6 linked regions of the Kluyveromyces lactis genome follow. The main gene of each other region encodes a partner of the protein of the gene in region 2 in a complex. Links are inferred from orthologs where the notes say so. Each region holds a gene or a part of one and is shown on either strand. Other genes may lie near its edges.

Evidence for each region.
Region 1: the proteins of EMC1 (region 2) and SOP4 are in contact, whole or in part, in a cryo-EM structure (PDB 6WB9), measured with the Saccharomyces cerevisiae proteins. The link is inferred for Kluyveromyces lactis from reciprocal best matches to the Saccharomyces cerevisiae genes EMC1 and SOP4. Residues at the interface, in NP_009884.1 of Saccharomyces cerevisiae: Val25, Phe26, Ser27, Asp28, Ala30, Phe81, Arg82, Asn83, Asp119, Trp120, Phe121, Leu122, Leu123, Glu125, Gly126, Val127, Glu500, Asp528, Phe529, Arg530, Phe531, Phe547, Ser549, Pro551, Val552, Pro553, Glu554, Ile599, Phe600, Pro601; in NP_012343.1 of Saccharomyces cerevisiae: Phe39, Val40, Ser41, Thr42, Arg43, Lys47, Tyr49, Ile51, Tyr58, Pro59, Thr61, Thr64, Met65, Phe66, Gln67, Asp68, Asp69, Glu74, Asn77, Val91, Tyr93, Ala95, Met97, Asn100, Arg105, Phe127, Gly128, Arg129, Glu130, Tyr131.
Region 3: EMC1 (region 2) and EMC6 share a complex: the UniProt entries of both Saccharomyces cerevisiae proteins name them as parts of the ER membrane protein complex. The link is inferred for Kluyveromyces lactis from reciprocal best matches to the Saccharomyces cerevisiae genes EMC1 and EMC6.
Region 4: the proteins of EMC1 (region 2) and EMC10 are in contact, whole or in part, in a cryo-EM structure (PDB 6WB9), measured with the Saccharomyces cerevisiae proteins. The link is inferred for Kluyveromyces lactis from reciprocal best matches to the Saccharomyces cerevisiae genes EMC1 and EMC10. Residues at the interface, in NP_009884.1 of Saccharomyces cerevisiae: His425, Phe427, Ile440, Glu442, Lys447, Thr449, Trp450, Lys451, Lys452, Ala453, Asn455, Glu458, Asn499, Glu501, His502, Ile513, Thr514, Gly515, Glu516, Ile517, Leu518, Thr520, Gln521, Glu522, His523, Lys524, Asp525, Pro551, Val552, Val558; in NP_010341.3 of Saccharomyces cerevisiae: Asp28, Glu63, Cys65, Pro77, Cys78, Phe79, Ser80, Tyr81, Met82, Lys83, Tyr90, Asp95, Asp97, Glu98, Asp99, Glu101, Lys103, Gln104, Val105, Ser106, Leu107, Ser108, Tyr109, Glu111, Arg121, Pro123, Glu124, Ala125, Gly126, Pro127.
Region 5: the proteins of EMC1 (region 2) and EMC2 are in contact, whole or in part, in a cryo-EM structure (PDB 6WB9), measured with the Saccharomyces cerevisiae proteins. The link is inferred for Kluyveromyces lactis from reciprocal best matches to the Saccharomyces cerevisiae genes EMC1 and EMC2. Residues at the interface, in NP_009884.1 of Saccharomyces cerevisiae: Ser749, Asn750, Leu753, Gln756, Trp757, Leu758, Ile759; in NP_012621.1 of Saccharomyces cerevisiae: Glu47, Gly48, Phe51, Phe52, Glu55, Leu77, Arg80, Leu81, Asn84, Ser85, Tyr86, Lys87, Met88, Asp122, Val124, Thr125.
Region 6: the proteins of EMC1 (region 2) and EMC5 are in contact, whole or in part, in a cryo-EM structure (PDB 6WB9), measured with the Saccharomyces cerevisiae proteins. The link is inferred for Kluyveromyces lactis from reciprocal best matches to the Saccharomyces cerevisiae genes EMC1 and EMC5. Residues at the interface, in NP_009884.1 of Saccharomyces cerevisiae: Leu248, Ala251, Tyr252, Arg255, Leu256, Asn259, Arg262, Lys295, Asn693; in NP_012237.1 of Saccharomyces cerevisiae: His18, Ser19, Phe21, Ser22, Glu25, Leu32, Leu35, Lys47, Asp48, Ile49, Tyr51, Glu52.

What each region holds. Positions count from the first base shown.
Region 1 is NC_006038.1:665,440-668,437, forward strand, and holds SOP4 (Sop4p), read left to right. Parts: upstream 1-1,449; coding exon 1,450-2,154; downstream 2,155-2,998. Other genes in the region: KLLA0_B07623g (40S ribosomal protein uS11), read right to left, coding at 510-519; BPH1 (Bph1p), read left to right, coding at 2,424-2,998. UniProt on the Saccharomyces cerevisiae protein: Involved in the export of PMA1, possibly through the monitoring or assisting of PMA1 folding and acquisition of competence to enter vesicles.
Region 2 is NC_006039.1:78,900-83,403, reverse strand, and holds EMC1 (Emc1p), read left to right. Parts: upstream 1-1,578; coding exon 1,579-3,753; downstream 3,754-4,504. Other genes in the region: MGR1 (Mgr1p), read left to right, coding at 97-1,245; peptidylprolyl isomerase family protein FPR2, read left to right, coding at 4,044-4,466. UniProt on the Saccharomyces cerevisiae protein: Part of the endoplasmic reticulum membrane protein complex (EMC) that enables the energy-independent insertion into endoplasmic reticulum membranes of newly synthesized membrane proteins.
Region 3 is NC_006042.1:1,426,789-1,429,611, forward strand, and holds EMC6 (Emc6p), read left to right. Parts: upstream 1-1,619; coding exon 1,620-1,937; downstream 1,938-2,823. Other genes in the region: HGH1 (Hgh1p), read right to left, coding at 49-1,209; mRNA-binding protein PUF3, read right to left, coding at 2,335-2,823. UniProt on the Saccharomyces cerevisiae protein: Part of the endoplasmic reticulum membrane protein complex (EMC) that enables the energy-independent insertion into endoplasmic reticulum membranes of newly synthesized membrane proteins.
Region 4 is NC_006041.1:1,123,033-1,126,038, forward strand, and holds EMC10 (Emc10p), read left to right. Parts: upstream 1-1,360; coding exon 1,361-1,933; downstream 1,934-3,006. Other genes in the region: YOS9 (Yos9p), read right to left, coding at 1-1,088; hydroxyacyl-thioester dehydratase HTD2, read left to right, coding at 2,541-3,006. UniProt on the Saccharomyces cerevisiae protein: Part of the endoplasmic reticulum membrane protein complex (EMC) that enables the energy-independent insertion into endoplasmic reticulum membranes of newly synthesized membrane proteins.
Region 5 is NC_006041.1:553,134-556,346, forward strand, and holds EMC2 (Emc2p), read left to right. Parts: upstream 1-1,279; coding exon 1,280-2,140; downstream 2,141-3,213. Other genes in the region: TIF5 (translation initiation factor eIF5), read right to left, coding at 1-749; TIP41 (Tip41p), read right to left, coding at 2,294-3,213. UniProt on the Saccharomyces cerevisiae protein: Part of the endoplasmic reticulum membrane protein complex (EMC) that enables the energy-independent insertion into endoplasmic reticulum membranes of newly synthesized membrane proteins.
Region 6 is NC_006042.1:2,570,766-2,573,702, reverse strand, and holds EMC5 (Emc5p), read left to right. Parts: upstream 1-1,648; coding exon 1,649-2,059; downstream 2,060-2,937. Other genes in the region: cohesin subunit IRR1, read left to right, coding at 1-1,288; anaphase promoting complex subunit CDC26, read right to left, coding at 2,207-2,548. UniProt on the Saccharomyces cerevisiae protein: Part of the endoplasmic reticulum membrane protein complex (EMC) that enables the energy-independent insertion into endoplasmic reticulum membranes of newly synthesized membrane proteins.

The sequences.
Region 1 (2,998 bases), on a different chromosome or scaffold from region 2:
TAAAATAGCTAGAACGGGAGCTTTGATCCCCAGACTCCAGTGAGCAGGTAATAGAACACTTGATGTTAGAGAAATATCTCCTTTATTCAGTGCTCCATATCAATCCCATTTGTGATAATGTCCTCATTATCATCGAATTATCCGGATATTTATCTGATTCTGTTACAGGCTGAAAGAGTCGTGCAAGCACTTTTACAAACGTAAGCTTCCTGCTTTGACTGTAAGGAAAAATACCTGAGATTCTGTGGTGAAACACCTACTCAACTTGGGTACTTCCTCCTTCTTGTCGTTGCATCATCACTAAAATACTGTTTGAGATAGCACTATTGAGATTGAAGAAAGTGTTAACGTTACAATCCATTACAGATAACTAACATCGACACGACTCCGCAAAATCACACACGAATACACTTATCAGAGTAATCCATACTTTTTCCAATGGTTTTTATCCATCCTTTCTTGAAGAACAACTAAAGGGTTTTAAACGGGATACCACCCCTCGCACGTACCGTTAGCCATTCTTGATATGTTTTTCTGGTCTCTGAGGTCTAAGCTTAAACAATAATAAAGTTAATGTTGATATATCCAAGCTTATACATGTAATAAATGATAAATTCATTAAAATCATTGACAATTTGTTACTATGAAAAATTGAAGCTGACCTTTGGATATTGAAACCTACGATCTGGCAAAAATGTGTCTGCCATTCATTTTCCACATTCTATCTTGACAAATTAGGAAATTCTTAACATAAATGAAATTCGAAAAGTAATGAAAGCCATCCCTCTTCAACAATGTCTGGGTGTTTCAGAAATTAGACAGTCCCGAAATTACTGTAGAACTCCACGGTTGTTAGATTGGCGAACCTATGTCAACAAGAGAGAAAGAGAAAACTATACGGCGCAAGTTTCTGTATATATCATCTATTGAACGTTTACTAGATGGATAAGGAGGGAATGAGATGTCGGGCTGTATGCATATGAGTAATTGGTCCTAGACGAACAATGTTGGAAACATCTTTCGCAGTATAGATCACTCCATTAAACATTGACAGCCATTTTCAAACTGAAAGCTTTAATCTCGAACCAGGTTGTAGAGAAGATATTGTCTGGAGAGTCACAAATCCACTACAATAATACCTGTTCTGAGGAATGTACGCTTTCTTATGACCTGATCAAAACGGACGTATCTCAACTTACTGTATAGTATTGTTTATAATAATGCATCTTATTCTCATCTTTTATACTAAATTTTCTTGAACGAACAAAATGAAAAAGTTCAAAAGTCAGATAAATCCGGGTAATAATATTAGTAACTATTCTTTCTTCTGGAAATGAATCTCGAATGGTAACTAAGACGCATAAAGAAGTTAATGATAACGGTAAAAACACTATACTCTGAGACTGAACTAACGTATGGCAATTAGTTTACTCCTCCAAAGAATCGGGGATGAATTTTGTACTTTTTTGCTTTCTAGTTTGGCAGTTCGTAAACCCAGGTGCTGCATTCGATATTAAGGGCAGACTAGATTTGAAAGTTAGGAACGTTTCGAGACATGATATATCGAGAACCTATTTTAACCTGTACAGGATACGGAATCCCAATGATGACTCGGAATGGGATTCATATTCACAGTCATCAAAATTGGAGAATATCAATGGTGAATTCACCTTCAGCGATGTTCCCATTGACACTGGTATCAATAGGACGACATACTTCACATTACATTCGCATTCCAATGAATTCAATTTGAAACCCAACAGAATACTGATACAAATTGTAGGTAACGGGCAAGATCAGGAACCTAACCTCAGCGCCTTTGAGAACAGATTTGGCAGAGAGTATTTCCCATCTCCAGATATTACATATCCCGAAACTTTGAATCCATTACCCTTGGATTCTGCAAACCGTTTAACAATAACAACGATGAACAAACAACCATACAGAAAATATATAAAGATAAGAAATCCTGGAATCCTCGAGAGTGGTCCCATTGCCAGTGTTTTAAGATCAAAATTCAAGCTAGCAGGCGTCGTGACAGTGATATTTTTAGTTTTGTTCCCTATTTTGTTGGAGAAGTTCGATCCTGAGACTGCTAAAGCTATGAGACAAGAGAAGATGCATAGAGAGAACGCAAAATATGTTTCAAAATAGCTTTTTCGTTGAATGGTGTATGTATTACACTTGTATAAGTTACGAATATCTTGCAAATCTTATTCATCTTTTGCACACTTTCCTAGTTTTTGTACTTTATCTATGAAAAAAATAAACAGCTAAGAAATTAGGGAAACAGCTTGAGAAACAAACGAACAAACACTTATCATAGTAAGGGCGAAAAAAACCCAAAATACGTTCACTCACTTATAGATTAGTTGAATTTCTGCTAAGAAAATATTATACTAGGGAATGACGTTTGTAATATAATGATCCAGGAGTACGTTACATTATTAGCTCAGGTGCTTAACTTGGTTCCAGAGGATGATTCTGATCTGATATCTATTTTATGTGATATTTGCAATTCTTACGAAAATACAGCCTCTAAAGATGAGCTATATACATACACAACGTTTGAAATAAGCCAGAGGTTTAATAACATCGAGCCAACGGAATTGAATTTTGTATATGATGACACATCGAAGTGGGAGAAGCTTTTATCTCATCAGTCATCGGAATTGAGCTACATTATCGCTTTGCATATAGTATTATGTCTCATTGAGAATTCAATAGTGAACAAACAAAGTTTTGCAAAACATCCAGCCATGAAATCGTTTGTGAAAGCCCGCTTACGTGGAAATGAAATGGATCCTTTGTTGAACGCAACTTTCGGAGAGTTGTATTGCCACGTCTTTGCCATTCAAGCTAACGCTGAAGATATACGATTTGTATACGAAAACACCTACCCTTATGATTGGAATATTGTCGAAAACATTGCAAGCCAGATAACCGATCAGTCTATGCAAACACATTTGCTATTTGAAAATTGTTACCTAACATTCGC
Region 2 (4,504 bases):
GACGAGGGCCAACATAAGACAACTCGAAGAGCACGTATCGGATTACTAAAGGTTCAAACAAAGTGAACAAGCAGCAAGGACAGAATTGCGAAGTAGATGGCTATATATACATCCGGAACTCAGTCAGATAATTCTGAGCCTGTTGGCAATGACCCCAAGTTTTATACAAGACCAAGTCTGGGATTGAAACTATGGGGACCATTAGTGCCTAGTTCGGATAACACAACAGGATTGTGGTCATTAGTTGCAATTCAAACAGGACTTGGGTTATTTCTAATGCAAAGGTTTAGAAAATTGGGAAAGAAATGGGTGAAACGAGATATTGCCGATTTTCCTAGTTTGAATAGATTCAGTACCACACACGGTGATATGTACATGACTAGACATATTCCTGTTCAATTCGGGGGAACACATTCTTTCAATATTCGAGTTGGTACACGTACCGGTTTTTGGTATTCAGAGAGATTTAGAACTATTAGACGTGTTACTTATTTATTAGCGGGGACTCTAATACTCTCGCAGTCTATGTTAGAGGTTTCAAGATTGACCCTTCTCAAATACGATCCCTGGGTAGAAGAAGCAAAATCAGTTCGTGAAAAGCAGTTTTTCAATGACATCGTCAAATACTATCACGAGGGAGTTGATTCAACGAAATTCAAGGCCAAGGATGAATTATCAGGACAGTCAATTTCCCTTAACTTACCAGAGGTGAAGCAAAGTATCGCCGTAGCGAGAGCACAAGCGCAGGCCGAGAATTTGGTAACTAAATGGTTCGGACCGTTGGATTATAAACCACAGTCATTCTCTGAATTCTTAGACAAACTAGAATACTACCTGAATATGACTGATTTTCTCAACAATCTCAGACGTCAAAAGAAGAACGATAAGATAAATTCTCAATTGGTAAAATTAGAAGAAGAAAACAAGCGCAATAGACAGAGAATACATACATTGATGGCTCATGCTCCGGCACGGGCTATCAGAACAAATCAAGAAGTGCAGGACATATATGCAATTAGAAAAGTTCTCTTGCATCATGATACAGAATCACCAAATGATATCCCACTAACTGAAATATGGGCTATTTACAATCCTTGGACAAATTTAGCATTAGACACCGCATTAAGCATTAAGTTCTTTCCTTCGGTCATTTTTAATGAAGACTATTATGAACACCAGAAAAGACTCAAAGATTCAGAGCATGTTACTTCCATAGAGAATAGCGAAGATGAGAGAAAGCCATAATTGAATATCATACACGTTTGTATTACACTAACAGAAAAAATAACTGACTCAATTCATGATTTCAAACTGTATATAAGAATCGTTGTACAAATTTAATCGATATATAGCTATATCGAGACTCTCATACTGCCTTTTTTTTGTTTCCTTGTTTGTGTTACGAAAGCTACGACATATTTCCCACTGTAGTAACCATTTTTTACTACGATTATTATTATTATTTCAAAGAAACCAACAATAGCCTTCGAATAAAATAAGCCTAAACTAGTGTCCAAGTAAAGAATTAGTTAAAGTTTATACACTGGACCTTCGATCTTGCCATAACGGAATCAAATCATGTTAACCCTTATATTTACGTTGTGGGTACTTCTGCTTAAATCCACAGGGGCTGTATTTAATGATGAAGCGTTTCACGTGGATTGGCAAATCGAAAACCTAGGTGATATCAAATGTATTGACAAATCAGACTCGTCATTCGTGGTCTTAGGGGAGACTCCCACTGGCATCCCTGTAATTTCACTTTTGGATGCGGCTTCAGGAAATATAGTTGAAAGGTTCGTTCAGGATGCCTCTGTTGCTGCCATGAAAGTTGTGGATGGAAATATACACTTGAATACTGGTCAAGTTTTGGATAGTTTGACAGGTTTCCCTAAGTCAACTCATTCAGGCCAAGTTGAATGTCGGAAACTAGACATTCAATCTGTTACCTTGAATAACAATACACTGCGTTTTAATATTTCCTCTTCAGAGGGGGATGTGGTAGTCAAAATTCCAGAGACCTTCAGAAAGATAGAATACTTTGGCCTGAGCAGTGATAGCACAGTAGCGGAAGTATTGATATCTACAACTAATAAAGAATATTATTACACTAGATACGAAAATCATTCCCTGACTGCCCACTGGGAAAGAAATGAGGGCTACTCTGATATTATCGCATATACTGTCCTTGATGAAACAAATCATAATTTAGACTTTGTTAGGGATGAACTGCTCCACGAACAGCAATTGAGCCTAATTGACGCATATAAGTTCCGTGTTCAAAGTAATTGGGAAAGACTAAAGTCGTATCTTATCCGTAAAAGATTTAATCTGGGCAGAATGTTTGCCGATTTGATAACTGAAGATGATTCTTCAGCACTGCGAGATCTAAACGTACGATTTGGTTTTGCAAAGCAGCTTGTCGTCGCTTCTAAGTCAGGAATTATAACATCTCTGGACATCATCTCTGGAAAGAAATTGTGGAGTCTGCAGTCAAATTTGAAGGACATTTTGAAATTGCGCCTGAGGAGTGAAAACGAGCTTTCGATTGTTACGCGTTCTAGTATTTATTCTGTTAATCTCTTAGAGCAACCGCTCGGATTGACACCCGAAAATAAGGCTCCCGACGGTTTTCAATTTGATGCGAACAGTGAATCACCTATTATCAAACTAGTTAATGTCAAAAACAGTTCTTTCAAGATATTCAACGCTTCCCACATTGGAAATACTAATATTAGTTTCGTCCATTTTGAAGAGCAGAAAGTAACAGGGTATGCCCTTCAGGGGGATGCCCTCTTACCGACCTATCAGAGAAACGTAGGGGGGAATGAACGTATTGTTGGTCATGCTGTCAGAGATAAAGGCCACGTTCCAGGTTTAGGTGCAATCCTAGGAAACAGAACTGTATTATACAAGTACCTCAATCCTAATATTGGAGGCTATTTGATGGGCAATTCTGTAGAGAATTCCTTGTTACTAGAAATATTTGACACGGTTACTGGCCAGACTCTTTACACTGTTAAGCATGAGGAGTTTGTGGACTTAACCTTGCCAGTAAACCTTGTGATAGGAGAACACTGGTGCATATACAGTTATTTCAGTTCAGCTCCAATACCGGAACAAAAGCTTGTAGTCGTTGAGTTTTACGAATCGCTGGTTCCTGATGAAAGGAGATCCCTTCCAGGGAGCTTAGTGAACCCGCTAGACGATATTGTGAAACCGGCAACGATTAGCAACGCATATTACTTCCCTCAGATCATACATTCACTTGCATTATCCAAAACTAAATTTGGAATTACTACGAAAGCTATACTTTTACAATTAGATGATGGGTCCATTACATATCTCCCCAAATATGTTGTCAACGCAAGAAGAAAACCAGAGTCTGATATGACAAAGAAAGACAAAGAGGAATTCATGGCTTCTGTTTATGAACCCACCATACCAATTAATGATTTTTCAGTGGTTAGTCATCTTAGACAGATTCTTCCTTCAGATAAATCGAAATTAATATCAGTTCCGACGAACTTGGAATCCACTAGTATAATATGCTCCATCGGTAATGACATCTTCTGCACAAGGGTTTCACCATCTTCTCAGTTTGACAAACTTGGAGCAAGCTTTGAAAAGAGTAAGGTTCTTTTCACCATTATGGGCTTATTCATCTTATGCTACATCCTCAGACCCATGGTGGACCAGCGCAAGTTGAAAGTGAAATGGTTGGTCAAAGACCTTGATATTACATCTATTTGAATACATGTATAATTCTAAAATATCTGAAAGTTGCATTTGCATCGCATTTTATATGTATTTAATCTTTTGTTTGTCACCTTCAAAAGTTAAAGGCAGACCCTATTTTCAATTAATCTTTTTATTGAATGGCTAATCTCACATATTATTTTTATATCTAAATAGAAAAGTGAATGTACTTCTTGATCCAATTATAACAATAGATCAGTCTTGGGTTGGGAAAGAAGCCATGAGCTTCGATTTTCTAAAAGTTCTACATCAAATAGATCACTATAATTGACTAAACTTTCGAAATGAAGTTCACTACTGGCCTTTCTGTTTTATTGTTCTTTGTATTGCAAGTTTTTGCAGAAAAGTTGACCGAATTAGTTGTTGGAGTGACCAAGGAGCCTGTTGATTGTAAGATCAAGGCATCTAAGGGTGATGTTGTCTCTGTGCACTACACTGGTAAATTGAGGGACTCTGGTGAGATTTTTGACTCATCGTATAATAGGGGAGTACCAATTCAATTTAAGTTGGGTTACAGTCAAGTTATTAGTGGATGGGATCAAGGTATTTTAGGAATGTGCATCGGTGAGGGCCGTACCTTACATATTCCAAGTGAATTAGGGTACGGTTCTCGTGGTGCTGGAAGCGTAATCCCACCAGATGCAGACTTAATTTTCGAAACCGAACTTGTTGATATTCAAAGAGAAGCTGTTGACGATGAGTTATAGTAACGGATGTAAGAATCCTATGACTGGTACCATTTACT
Region 3 (2,823 bases), on a different chromosome or scaffold from region 2:
AATAAATATATGTTATTTGAAAACAAGATATCTATAGGAAGTTATCATTTATAAAACTTCGACGATAGCATCGTCATCATCGTCGGACTCTTCTTCTTCTTCTTCTTCTTCTATCTCGGCTATTTCGCCATCTTCCGCAGATTTGGCCACGATTTCTTCTATCACTTGATTCTCCGGCTCACCTCTCATCAACATGTTAACAATTCTATGAGATAATTCACCGATATCGTCATTTCCAATATTTTTATGTAACTCTCTGACCAATGGGTATACTGATTTCGATCTTAAGTATTCTCTGCCGGCTTTAGTGGTACAAAGCAATAAAATACTTTCTAAATGCACACATATGATTTCAGGAATAGGATCTCTCTCTTTGTCGGCAGGTAAGAGTTGCAATTCATCCGGTAGATTGAACATATCTTCTTCATCAATTTCGGAGTCTTTAGCTGATGCAATCGGTAGAAGAATATAAGGTAAAAGATTGATTTCCTCATTAGTCAAAAGGTTTTCATGCTTTTCGGAATCAAATAACGAATTCTTGATGGTATAAGCCACACCTTCTCTTCTGGTTTTAGCATCATACTTTTCAGTGAATACCAATAGTTTAGAAATTGGGATGACGCCGTCATACTCCTGCTGTTCAATGAAATACTCTCTACCAATCTTAAATCTCGAAATGTCGGCAAAGAAATAAGCTAAGTAGTCATAAGTGGCATATCTGTTCAACTTTCTATCGTAACCCTTCACAAAACAATCCATTAAGCAATCCATTACTTTGTTGCTTTTAAAGACTTCTATGTTTAATGGAATACCATCGTCTTCCTTCTTAACAAACGAAAACAATTCGGTAATATTGTCTTCCTTGGCGAGATTAGACAATAAAATACACATGATATCCGCACTTGCGTTAGCTAAATCACAGATTTTCCACGATAAGTACTGTAGGAATTCAGTATCCTTGACGATCAACTTTCTCATAGTAACATCATCACATAAATTCGCTAAAATCGTAGTGGATTGTTGAACGATAACTTTTGACTTATCTTTAGCTAGAACTTTTAGATCCTCTATAGCTTTGTAATTATTACATTTGAAAATGACAGCACTTGCTCCAGTTGAGAAGCCAACCAGATTATCAAGAGCAATCTGTCTGACGGCAGGCTGGTCTGAATGCAAAAATGACACTAATTCTTCTAATTCCGTGGACATCTTCCCTCTTTATCGTATCAAGTAAACGCAGATATTTCGAACAAAGATGTTTTATTGAACAATGAAAGTTATAGTTGATTAGCTGGTGAACAATACCTAGTTACACCAACTGCCAACGTAGATATGGTTGATGCGATGAGCTGCGATGAGTTTGTCAAACGTTTCTCAAGTTTCGTGAAAGAAAAGGTTCGACTCTTTAAGGCGGGTAACAATTACATCAGCATCAAACCGACAATAACAGATCTCCATCTTCAATTAAATGAATAGAACCACCGTTAGAAACAGAGCTTTTCAATCTGCGATTCGATTGATCCTTAAGTGCTGCATTTATCATAATAAATCACTTTTATTCTAGTCTTGGCTTATTGCAACCAATTGCAATCATAACTACGAGATAACAGCATTGGAAAATGAGTTATCGCTTCACCGACCTAAAGTCTTCCAAAAGTGGAAGTTTCAACAACAACAAACTACTACGGATACAGGATTCTACAATGCTGACAGCAGGACTTAGTGCTGGGATATTGCAACTTCAATCTTTTGCAGGTTTTGGAATGTTTTTTGCTGTTTATATCCTGGTGAACCTCATATTTATAGCGTGGTTTTGCAAATTCAAGCCTAGTCTATATTTTACTAATCCAGTGCATAAAATATGGGTTAAAAATCTATTCCGCGAGCTAGCTGGGTTTGTCATGACTTGGACGTTAGCGTTCACTTTGGTCAGGTAACGCATATGACACATTTTGCATTAACGGGTTGATTTCATCTGAACGATATCACCATTAGGATTCTAGAAGTACTATAATATTATGGTCATTAAAACTTATAGCAGAGATAAATATTTGCATGTATTATAAACAGGATGATGATAAACAATATGTACATTTAAAGGATATTAATTTATTAGGTAGTAATCTGTTCTCAACAACAGATTTTAGAAGATATTAAGATCTTCGTGAGAGATATCACGGGGATACAAAACGTAAGAAATGGCAATCTTCATCAATAGAATGATTTAGAAAGTGAACCAGTTATTAGGGAAAGAAAGCGTGGTTATCAAATGCAAATATTCGAGGCAGAACAATTTTTTTTGTCTTGCTTTCCCAAGTTGAGGCTGACATACATCTATATCTGAATTTTTTCCACCAAAGTTGCTAACTTTTCAACACTAGCCAAATGCCTGTTACCCAAAGTGTTATTTTTATTGGATTTATCCAAATAGGATCTGATGGAAATAACAATCAACCTCTCATCTTCACCAGTTGCGACACCCACGAGCTTTTGAACAACGTAGTTCGCGTATTGATCCCGCATCATTAGAATCAATGGTGCATTATCTTCCAAATCAGCGGCGTGCTCTTCGTCTCTTGGTAGAATTTGATCCAAAATCTGTCTTATCTGGTTTTTGGATCCGTAAACTACTGACTTTTCAACAACATTGGAGGCAAATTTGTGTTTTGAATATTCAACAACATTCTTACGAATGATATCGATGATATTTTGTTTACTCATTCCTATGTGACTGCTCGTATCTTCAGTTCCATGCTGTAAAATATGCTGAATTACGTAGTTACCGTATTGATCCTGGATCAAGAATGGGATGAATTCATCCAA
Region 4 (3,006 bases), on a different chromosome or scaffold from region 2:
CCAATCGCTTCCGAGGCTGAATTCAATTCCAAGTCAATTAAAAATAGCAGATTTCCCGTTTCATCTACTACAGGCGCTCTCCATAGAAATAGATCACCAGGTTTGATCGATTTCCCGGTGGGTGATTGTATAAAGTCCGAACCAATCAATTTCTTAAGACTAGATATGAAGTCTCCAATAAACCTTTCTTCTACTGTGAGCTCAAAGAGGGTAGTTTGAGAATCCAGTGGTTCAGCAGCGTGATACATCAATTGACGCCTATCCTTCGCACTATTTTTAGGTTTTAATAGGTATATGCCATGATCAAGTACAGTAGCCGAATACCTGTTGAATATATCAAGGGCAGGACTCAATTTGCTGCCGCTTCTATGGCATATTATGTTGTGTTCAGATAATTGACCAAGCAACGGATTGAATGAGCTAAGTTCACATAACTGTGGTAGAAACAGTCTCAATTGGTACTTGCAGGATTGTATTTCTCTAACTTCAAGATGGAAAGGCCTCGATAGTGGACGTTTAGGGCAGATGTATTGTATTTCTACCTCTCTTGGTTTATGTGTAAGATCACAAGTGCAACCATCTACCAAAGTTTCGCTAAGATACACTCTACCAGTTTTACTCTTAGCAAAGTGATAATCAATAGTTGAGTTGTAGTTAGATGAGTTCCCTAAAAGGTACGTTTCGCCAAAATAACCTTTTTGCACAACAGTCCTCGTCTCACCAGAGGATATAATATAAGTCCAGTAAGAAATAGGCACTGTATTCATTTCAATAGGGTTTGGAGCCAAGATCGCATTAACCATGTTAACTGCTTCAATGAGAGCTCCTTCAGAATTAAAAGTATCTTCTTCATGATGTTGAATCAACGACGAAGTGTTCCTTTGGTAACACAAAACATCGGACCCTTCGTAGGGGCGGAAAAGCCGTCCTTCTTGGAGCAATGTCTCATTATCTATTACACTTAGGAACTCTTGCTCATCAACGTATTTTAGCGAATAAGGCGTAGAGCTATATGGATTGAATGCTGAGACACCTGAATAAATCCATGAGATAGCAAACACCACCGACGTAACTGGTAAAAATATCATATAAGGCGGCAGATACACTAGCTACAATCAACCTCTGACGAATTGACAACAATGCGCCAACAAATAATAGCTCCGTATATCATTTTTGTACTTTCCACTAAGTAAACTTAAACGTTTGTAATATAAGAATCCAATTAATCGAATTAATCCAATTTTAAACCTTAAACTGAATAAATGTAATAATAAAAAGGATGAATCTCACAGCATAGACTGGTGTTTCCATCATATAACACAGCGGAAAACTGGTTGGATTTATCTTCAAATAATTAGCTATGCTAAAAATGATTCAATTGTTACTAATACTTCTGTTTCACTTGCGTGCGGTAGTGGCATCTCTACAAGGTACTGGTGATCTTTACTTATTGAACAATTTGAATGAAAGGTACAGCCTGGCAACTTTCGAAGCTGGTGATGAGGTAGGTATTAACCTGGCTGTGACAGCCAATCGAATTACAGACGGTGAATATAAAGTTTGTGGGACTTTTCAAGATTATTACGATGAGTGTTTCTCTTTCATCCATATAAAGCAACCATTGTCATACGAACTGGAGCTGGTGGTACTTGATGATAAACTAGTTCGTATGTCGATTCATGCAGATGATAGTATTGATGGCATCGTACCACTGATAAAGGAGGTTGGAAATGGTCCCATACCGGAAAGTATCAAGTTGAAGAAAAGAACTCTGACTTACGAGGCAAAGAAAAAAGCTCAGAGAAAGGATACAGGGACCGCTGCATTTGAAGAAGATGTTGTAGAGAACAAAACGTTTCTTCAGAAAAACTGGAAGTACGTTGTCATAGGGCTACTCGCCTATGTCTTTTTATCCAGTGGATCACAGAAATAATTTCATGTTTTACCATCTTGCTACGTATATATACGTTCAAGAAGACAAAGAAATGACCAGACGACTGACTTTTATTGCTTGGATAGGATAGGAGTGGTTGAAACATTCAATTAACTCTACGAATACGAAATGTATTACAATTAGTGACATGGATTATTTTGATGAGCAATTTGCCTTGAGTTTATTAATTGAGTGCTCGATGGAAAGACTGAAGTGAAAGATTTACCAATGTTGGCTTTTTAAAAGGATCGAAACTAAGCAACTCCATTACTCACTTCTTATCAACAATCGATCATGCTTTTCTCATTTGCACTGTAACACTGTAGTTGCTGTTACGATAATTCACTTTGCACTTGACTTTCCAGTCAATTAGACTGCCAATCAGCTTCACGATATCATGCACAGTAGTGTTTACTACCAACTCGATAGAACTGTATCCCACTTCACATCTTATTTAATTTATTTACCTGTATATCGTCATAAACAAGTAATGAATGAATTTAAAACTGTTGGGCATTCAATCGTAAACCTCACATCAAACAGTATAGAAAAAAAAGGGAATCCTTAAAAGCCAACCATATCCACATAGCTGTTAGTTTTCGCGGCAATGCAGTGGCATATCAGTGATTACATCAATCCGGTGACGGTACAGAGGTATCAGACTTTGGTTACATCTATCTTGCCAAAAGCAAAAGTATCAAACGATATATCGCTTTCAGGTTCACATTTATTGTTCTTCCATCCAGTAACAGCTGCCCTCAGCGAAGACGGATACTACTCGTACCAGACTCCTGGTGCTATATTGAAACGTGAAGTGCCCTTTCGGCGTCGCATGTGGGTTCAGGGATCAATTGAGTTCAAGAAATCACTGACAGATGGCTGGTACAATTGTCAAGAAGAACTTAAATTCATCAAAGAACTGAACAAAGACCATTTCGTAGGGTTGAAGAGAACTATACGAGACGAAAAGGGGTACCTATATGTTAAAGAGTTAAGAACGTTGATATATACTAATCAAAAAGTCTCAGATAAAGTAATAACCAAGTCCGAAGATTACAGTACCCGAGAAATCA
Region 5 (3,213 bases), on a different chromosome or scaffold from region 2:
TCTTCCAACTTGGAGAATTCGCCAGTTTCTTTGTCAGCTTCACCTTGTAATTCTTTCGCACGAGCTCTGATGGCTTCTTCAGACATATCAACGGCCCAGTCCTCATCCTTGACTTCAATGGTAGCCAAGTTAGAGGCAGCGGCATTAATTTGTCTGGCCAATTCATCATCATCGGAATCGTTTTCTTCGGCATCGTCACCAGCTTCAGCTTGGGATTTACCTTGAGCGATATCACTAATAGAAAGACCACCACCTCTGACATTAGCAGACGCAGTGGCAGCCTTCTTCTTTTTCTTGGAACCGTTCATACTGTCAGGAGGGTTCTTTAAGACGAACGAGGACAACTTATGTCTCAAATCCATAGGGGTTCTCTTACCACAAGCTTTACAGTCTCTAACCAAATCACCATCTTTAGTGATAACAATTTCAGTTTCAGGATTCTTACAGGATCCACAAAGGACAAACTTAGTGATGAAACCATCCAATACGTCCTGTAATTTGGCTGGTTGATGAGCACCATTGACAATGTAACGATCATTTTCAACATTGATAGCAGTTTGGGCACCCAATTCAAACCCGAAATATTTGATGATGTATGGAGCTGGTCTGTTTAAAGCACGGGCAACATCCATGGTATTCATAACAACAGTTTTGATACCATTACCTCTACCTTCAATCTTAGCCTGAATTGGAGGCATTTTATAACGGTAGAAAGGGTCATTGTTGTCTCTGCAAATATTGATTGACATCTTCGGCTACTGTTACTAATCTCTAGTCACTTGTTTCTGCTACCACCGTGTCTTTGACGTTCTTCAAGTCTGGAAAACACAAAAACTTTTAAAAGTAAGTTCGAACTGATCCTGTATTGGACTGTAAAACGGGGTCATTAACGCCTTCTTGAATCATGTATATGGAAGAAGTTCATCTCATCTCTTAGAAGTTCAACTTCAACTCTTCGCGTGTGGCAATCAGATACTGAGGCCTTGATTCCTGAAAAATTTTCGTCGTTTATGGTGATATGAAAATACATGTCGAAACGGAGCATGTGTCACGTGCTTTAGCTCCAACGATTCATTTGGCTCTGTGATTGTTTAAGCATCGGTTCTGTAAGAGACATATTACAGGGTATAACATGGGTGAGATACGTATGGTGGTGTTAAATGTTTGAATACCTTCAATACAATTACTGCTCGTGGAATTTAGTGAGTAATTTACTGTGTTGAAATTGTGCTCGAATCTCACATACATCTTAGGGTCGAAATCTAACTTTGTTCATATCATGGATTTACTTAAGAACAAATTACTGGCAATCCATAAGACTGGCGCATGGGCCATTCTGCCACCTAAAGAAATTGATTTGGCTTATAAGGAAACGAAACTTTTGATAGATGCTGGGTTAAATGGGCTTGACGAAATTAGTTATTTCTCAATGGTCGAATTATTGTTTTATCTTTGTCTTGTTCGTGGTGAAGACACAGAGGCTGAAACATTGTACAAAACTGTGACAGATCGTCTAGGTGACGATTCTCCAAGAATTCATGTGATGCACTCTATGTTAATACAGGTCACTCGATCCGATGATGCGGCTAAGAAATATATCGAGGATTTGATCAAGAATCAGCTGGAAATAGCTACTGATTCAGAAGACTACGTACAGATGAAGAAAAGGCTACTTGCGATAGAGAGACCTTCGATGAGTAAAGAAAAATGGGTAAAAGAACTACTGGATCTGGTTGAGAAGTTTCCTCTAGATGCAGAAATATGGTCGTTACTTTCGCAAGAATACCAGGAGGCTGGGGACCTACGTCAAGCAATATATTGCATGGAAGAAGTCATAATTGGGGTGCCGTTCAGTTATGAAGCATTTGGTCAATTAGCTTATTTGCATTACTTGAAGTCTCAATCAGATTCTGACCCTGAAGCTGCTTTGCAATCAAGTTTATCAAATGCGTTGAGATCTGTTGAGTTGGCAGAAGCCTACGTGAAAGGTTGGGGTATTGTATTGAAGACATCTCAGAAACTGAATAAAAAACCTGAATTAACTCAATTAGCTGTAAGAAAATTGCAAGAACTTCAGCAAAATAATGATAACAGAGAAATCACTAACGTATCCAGATACCTTTTGGATTCAGAAACTTGAATAGTGTGTATATAATATTATCACATGTATTACGAGATTTGTATATTATTCCTTTTGGGTAACATAATTAAATAGGTAGATTCATGAATGAGCAAATCAACTCTTTCTTGAATTTTCCAAAAGTGCTGTCAATTCGACAGTAGCGGTGAGTGCTTATTCGACAACTTCTTCTATATCTTCTTTTTTCCTCAATACTTCACATACGCGCTCCTTCAAAGGTAATACAGACGCAACCCAGTTGCTGTCTCTCAAAGATTTCTTAGGATCGTTTGAATTTAATCTACATTTATTCAATACTGTCTTGTAATCATCCTCCATATATTTCCATTCCCGTACAACAAGGTCCTCATTGAATTCGACATATATTCTTGTATCAATGATTTTAAACAAGACCTCATCGACTCTTAGGAAGAATCTGCATAATAAAAGAAGTCTCTCTGCCATTACCCTAAGTTTTATCGAAAGCATACTGATACCGTTGTCTGCCAATTCATCTTCAAATAGAATGAAATCATCATAGAATAAAATGGGATCTCTTCTTGTTAATTTTTCTATTGGAAGCTGATACTGGTTATCCACAACAAACTTGTATTCACTATCTTCTGACACAGTCCCATTGTATAAAGTCGTATAGGACCAATCCCAATGTTTTCCGAATTGTAATCCTTCCTCTGTGTTTGTCACTTGACTATTCTTAAGTTTGGAATTGATCCATTTCTCGGAATATGACACTCTTAACCCAGAATCCCCAAGTTTTACTTGACTAAGTGCATGGAACGGATTGAATCGTATGCACCAATGAGTCTTGGTGTTCTTCAATTCAACGCTGGAATGACCAAAAATCATTTCTGGGATTGGGAACTTCAATTTCTCAGTCCAATCGTCGATCTCATCACTAGAAAGAATAGGCCTCTTCGTCGTGGTGATAGTCCAATCACCTACACTTACAGATGGGTCATCTTTCGCTGGTATTGTGGCTACAGGGGATGGAACAATGACTGTACCGCAATGGCCACAATTTGGATTATTCGGATTATTCGATCTATGTGGGTGTGTATGAGTGTGCTTATGAT
Region 6 (2,937 bases), on a different chromosome or scaffold from region 2:
TCCAGAGTTAGAAGATCTTTTCAAGAAAATGAATCTTGATTCTGATCAGATATATACTCAACTACTAAATGTAATACAGCTATTAAACACAGAAGAATGGAATTCCAGTGAATCAAAGGATGTCATTTTTAATATCAATAAAACAATAACAAAACGATTTGAAAGCTCTCCAGTGGTTTTGAGCAACGCAAATGCCATTACTAAAACCTATAAGAGTTTAATTCCATATTTGGCATCCCTTCAAATACCAGAGGTAACTGGTTATTGGAAGTCATGTCTGATTAACGTGACATTATCATTCAAGAAGTTTATGGAATCATTTGACATAAAATCTGATAATTCAATAACAACATTATATCTGCAATATGTTAACAAACTTGTAATTTTGGGTAAGGAGTTCGCAATTGAAATTTCAGAAACGCTTTTGGATGACATTGTTGAAAAATTCTTGAAGCCGTTGAGTGAATTACTACCAAAGATTGATTCGGATGCCATATCTGTCCTAGATTTTAAGCTTTTCACCTCAATAGTTACTTGGAATTTAGCAACTTGGAGAGATGTTATCAAAAATAATGAAGAACCTATAGCTGTTTCACATACTACGCTGAATCAAATTAGAACGGTATTAGTCGAATTGCTGAATCTTTCTTCAAAGATCGATTCTAACCCTGAAATACAACACGACAAGAAATTCCATGTGCTTCATGTAATACTCTCTCCATTGTTAGATATTATCATTGCATTCAAAATGTTTGAGCTCGATTTGTCAGAAAAGGATTCCGATTGGATAAGGGCGTTAAGGCAAGAATATTCAGTTATCTCTAACGAAGATCTAACTGGTATTTGCCACAAAGTTTTCCTCTACCTTGAGAGTTGTCTTGGAAAATTTTTGGGAATAACTCTAGATCGAGTGGCTGATGAAGATGTAAATTATGGCGCTGTCAACTTAGTCGATGTTGATGGAGATCCAGAGAAGGAGCTTTGTATCTATACCATTAAATTGAAAGGCCTCATCAAACTTGGAATTCTAAACTATAGCGATTTAACTACAAGAATTGGGTTAAACCAAGAGAAATTAGGGCCATTATTTGAGAGTGTAGTAAGCGAAACGGTTTTCGAAGATGAACCGAAAAATAACGCTGAGAGCCATCCTGCAGCCAAATTAAACCAAGAACCAGTACCCCAACAATATGATGAAGTTCTTGAACCAATTGAGGAATTCACTCAGGATGAAACAGTTCATTCGCCTCCGCACCCTGCAGACCCCATTGTTTCATCACCAATCTAATCTTATTGGGGATCCTACGAAATGAAATTCCTGCGAGTGCATTTAAATCAGTTTATTTTTTTTTTTGGTGAATTGTGTTAAACATAATACATAAAACCTATTACATGGCTATCGATAACCTAAGCTCTCCTCAATCATGCGGCTGTGTGTCAGTACTGCATGCTATCTCTCTTTTTTACCTAGATAGTTTCTCTTGTCGGAAACTCTATAACACTCAGAAAAAAAAAAAAACGGAAAGGTTATTCAAGAATACCAAACAAAATATAGGTAGTATAAGGTTCAACTGGACAGATCTAACATAAATAGGCTTTGTTACTTTACTTAAATACTACTATTCACCGTTTTATCTTGGAATCAACAATGTCAATACTTTCCAAATCATTCTACTTTATAGCGTGGATACAGATTATTCATTCTGGTGTGTCCAGCTATGAATTTCATCAGATTGTGAAACATATCATTCTAGAGAACCCAGACGCTAAAACTCCAGGTTTACCAGATGACGTAAAATTGGAGGCACTATGCGGGTTATTATTCTTTATTTTGGGTACATTTATCAGTCAATCCAAGCTTAAGTACCTTAGTATTCGTGGGGAGGAACGAATAATTGAGACAGATGAGTATCTTAAACCTATCGAATTGAACAAGGCGTCCAGTACAGATGTAGTGATAAACAATGATCCTTATGGGGAAATAAACTACCTTCCTTCATTTGTTGACATCCATGCTAAGAGGAAACTGTTCAAAGAATACCTTCATCGCAGTTTGTGAGTTGATAAAGATTGGTAACTTAAACGCATACATATATATAATATGTACTGGGGAATTACATAATATAATGACTTTGCAATAATAACTAACGGGAGTAGATACAGGGCCGATAGCCAATATAGGCACTTCACCAATCACATTAGGACGTCAGTTATCATTGTGATTGTACGTGTAAAAGGGATTTGGAGGATCCTGTGTACTCTGTGTACTATTTTGTTCAATGAATCGAGGATCTGATGATGCAGACTGTTTATATCGCTGAGGTGGCGTCATCTTATGCAATGAGTGTGATAAAATATCATTCCGTGTCGCACTTGGGTTAGAAATGCCTTCTATCTCTGCTAATCTACTCATTTTTGCAGATGATTTCAAAAGATCTTGATGTTGCGTCTGTATCTCGCGTTGGAGCTTGTACTCTTCTAAATGTTCTTGTAGCTCGGAAATATCATCGGAAGTCAAGGATAAAACTGTAGGATCACGCCTTAGCATAATGGTTGGTATTTATGCCGATTCTATGTTATAATTCTACGTTATGCTATATAAATTGACATCTTAAGAAACTTGACTGCTTTTGTGTTATTAAATTCGGTTGATGAAATATGATGCGAAAGGAAAAGCAAAACCTTCACATACTATTACAAATGAACGTATCTAACACAATATGACGCACATGCAACTCTAAGATCTCTTACTCGATACAACATTTTACCAAATCACTTAAAGAAGGAAGGAAGGAAGGAATGAGCATATATGATCACACTTGGACAATGTAGTTGACCATACGGCGAGTCAGAATCTACAAATTTACATAGCCTTGTTGGCGCAATCGGTAGCGCGTGTGACTCTTAATCACAAGGTTGGGGGTTCGAGCCCCCCAC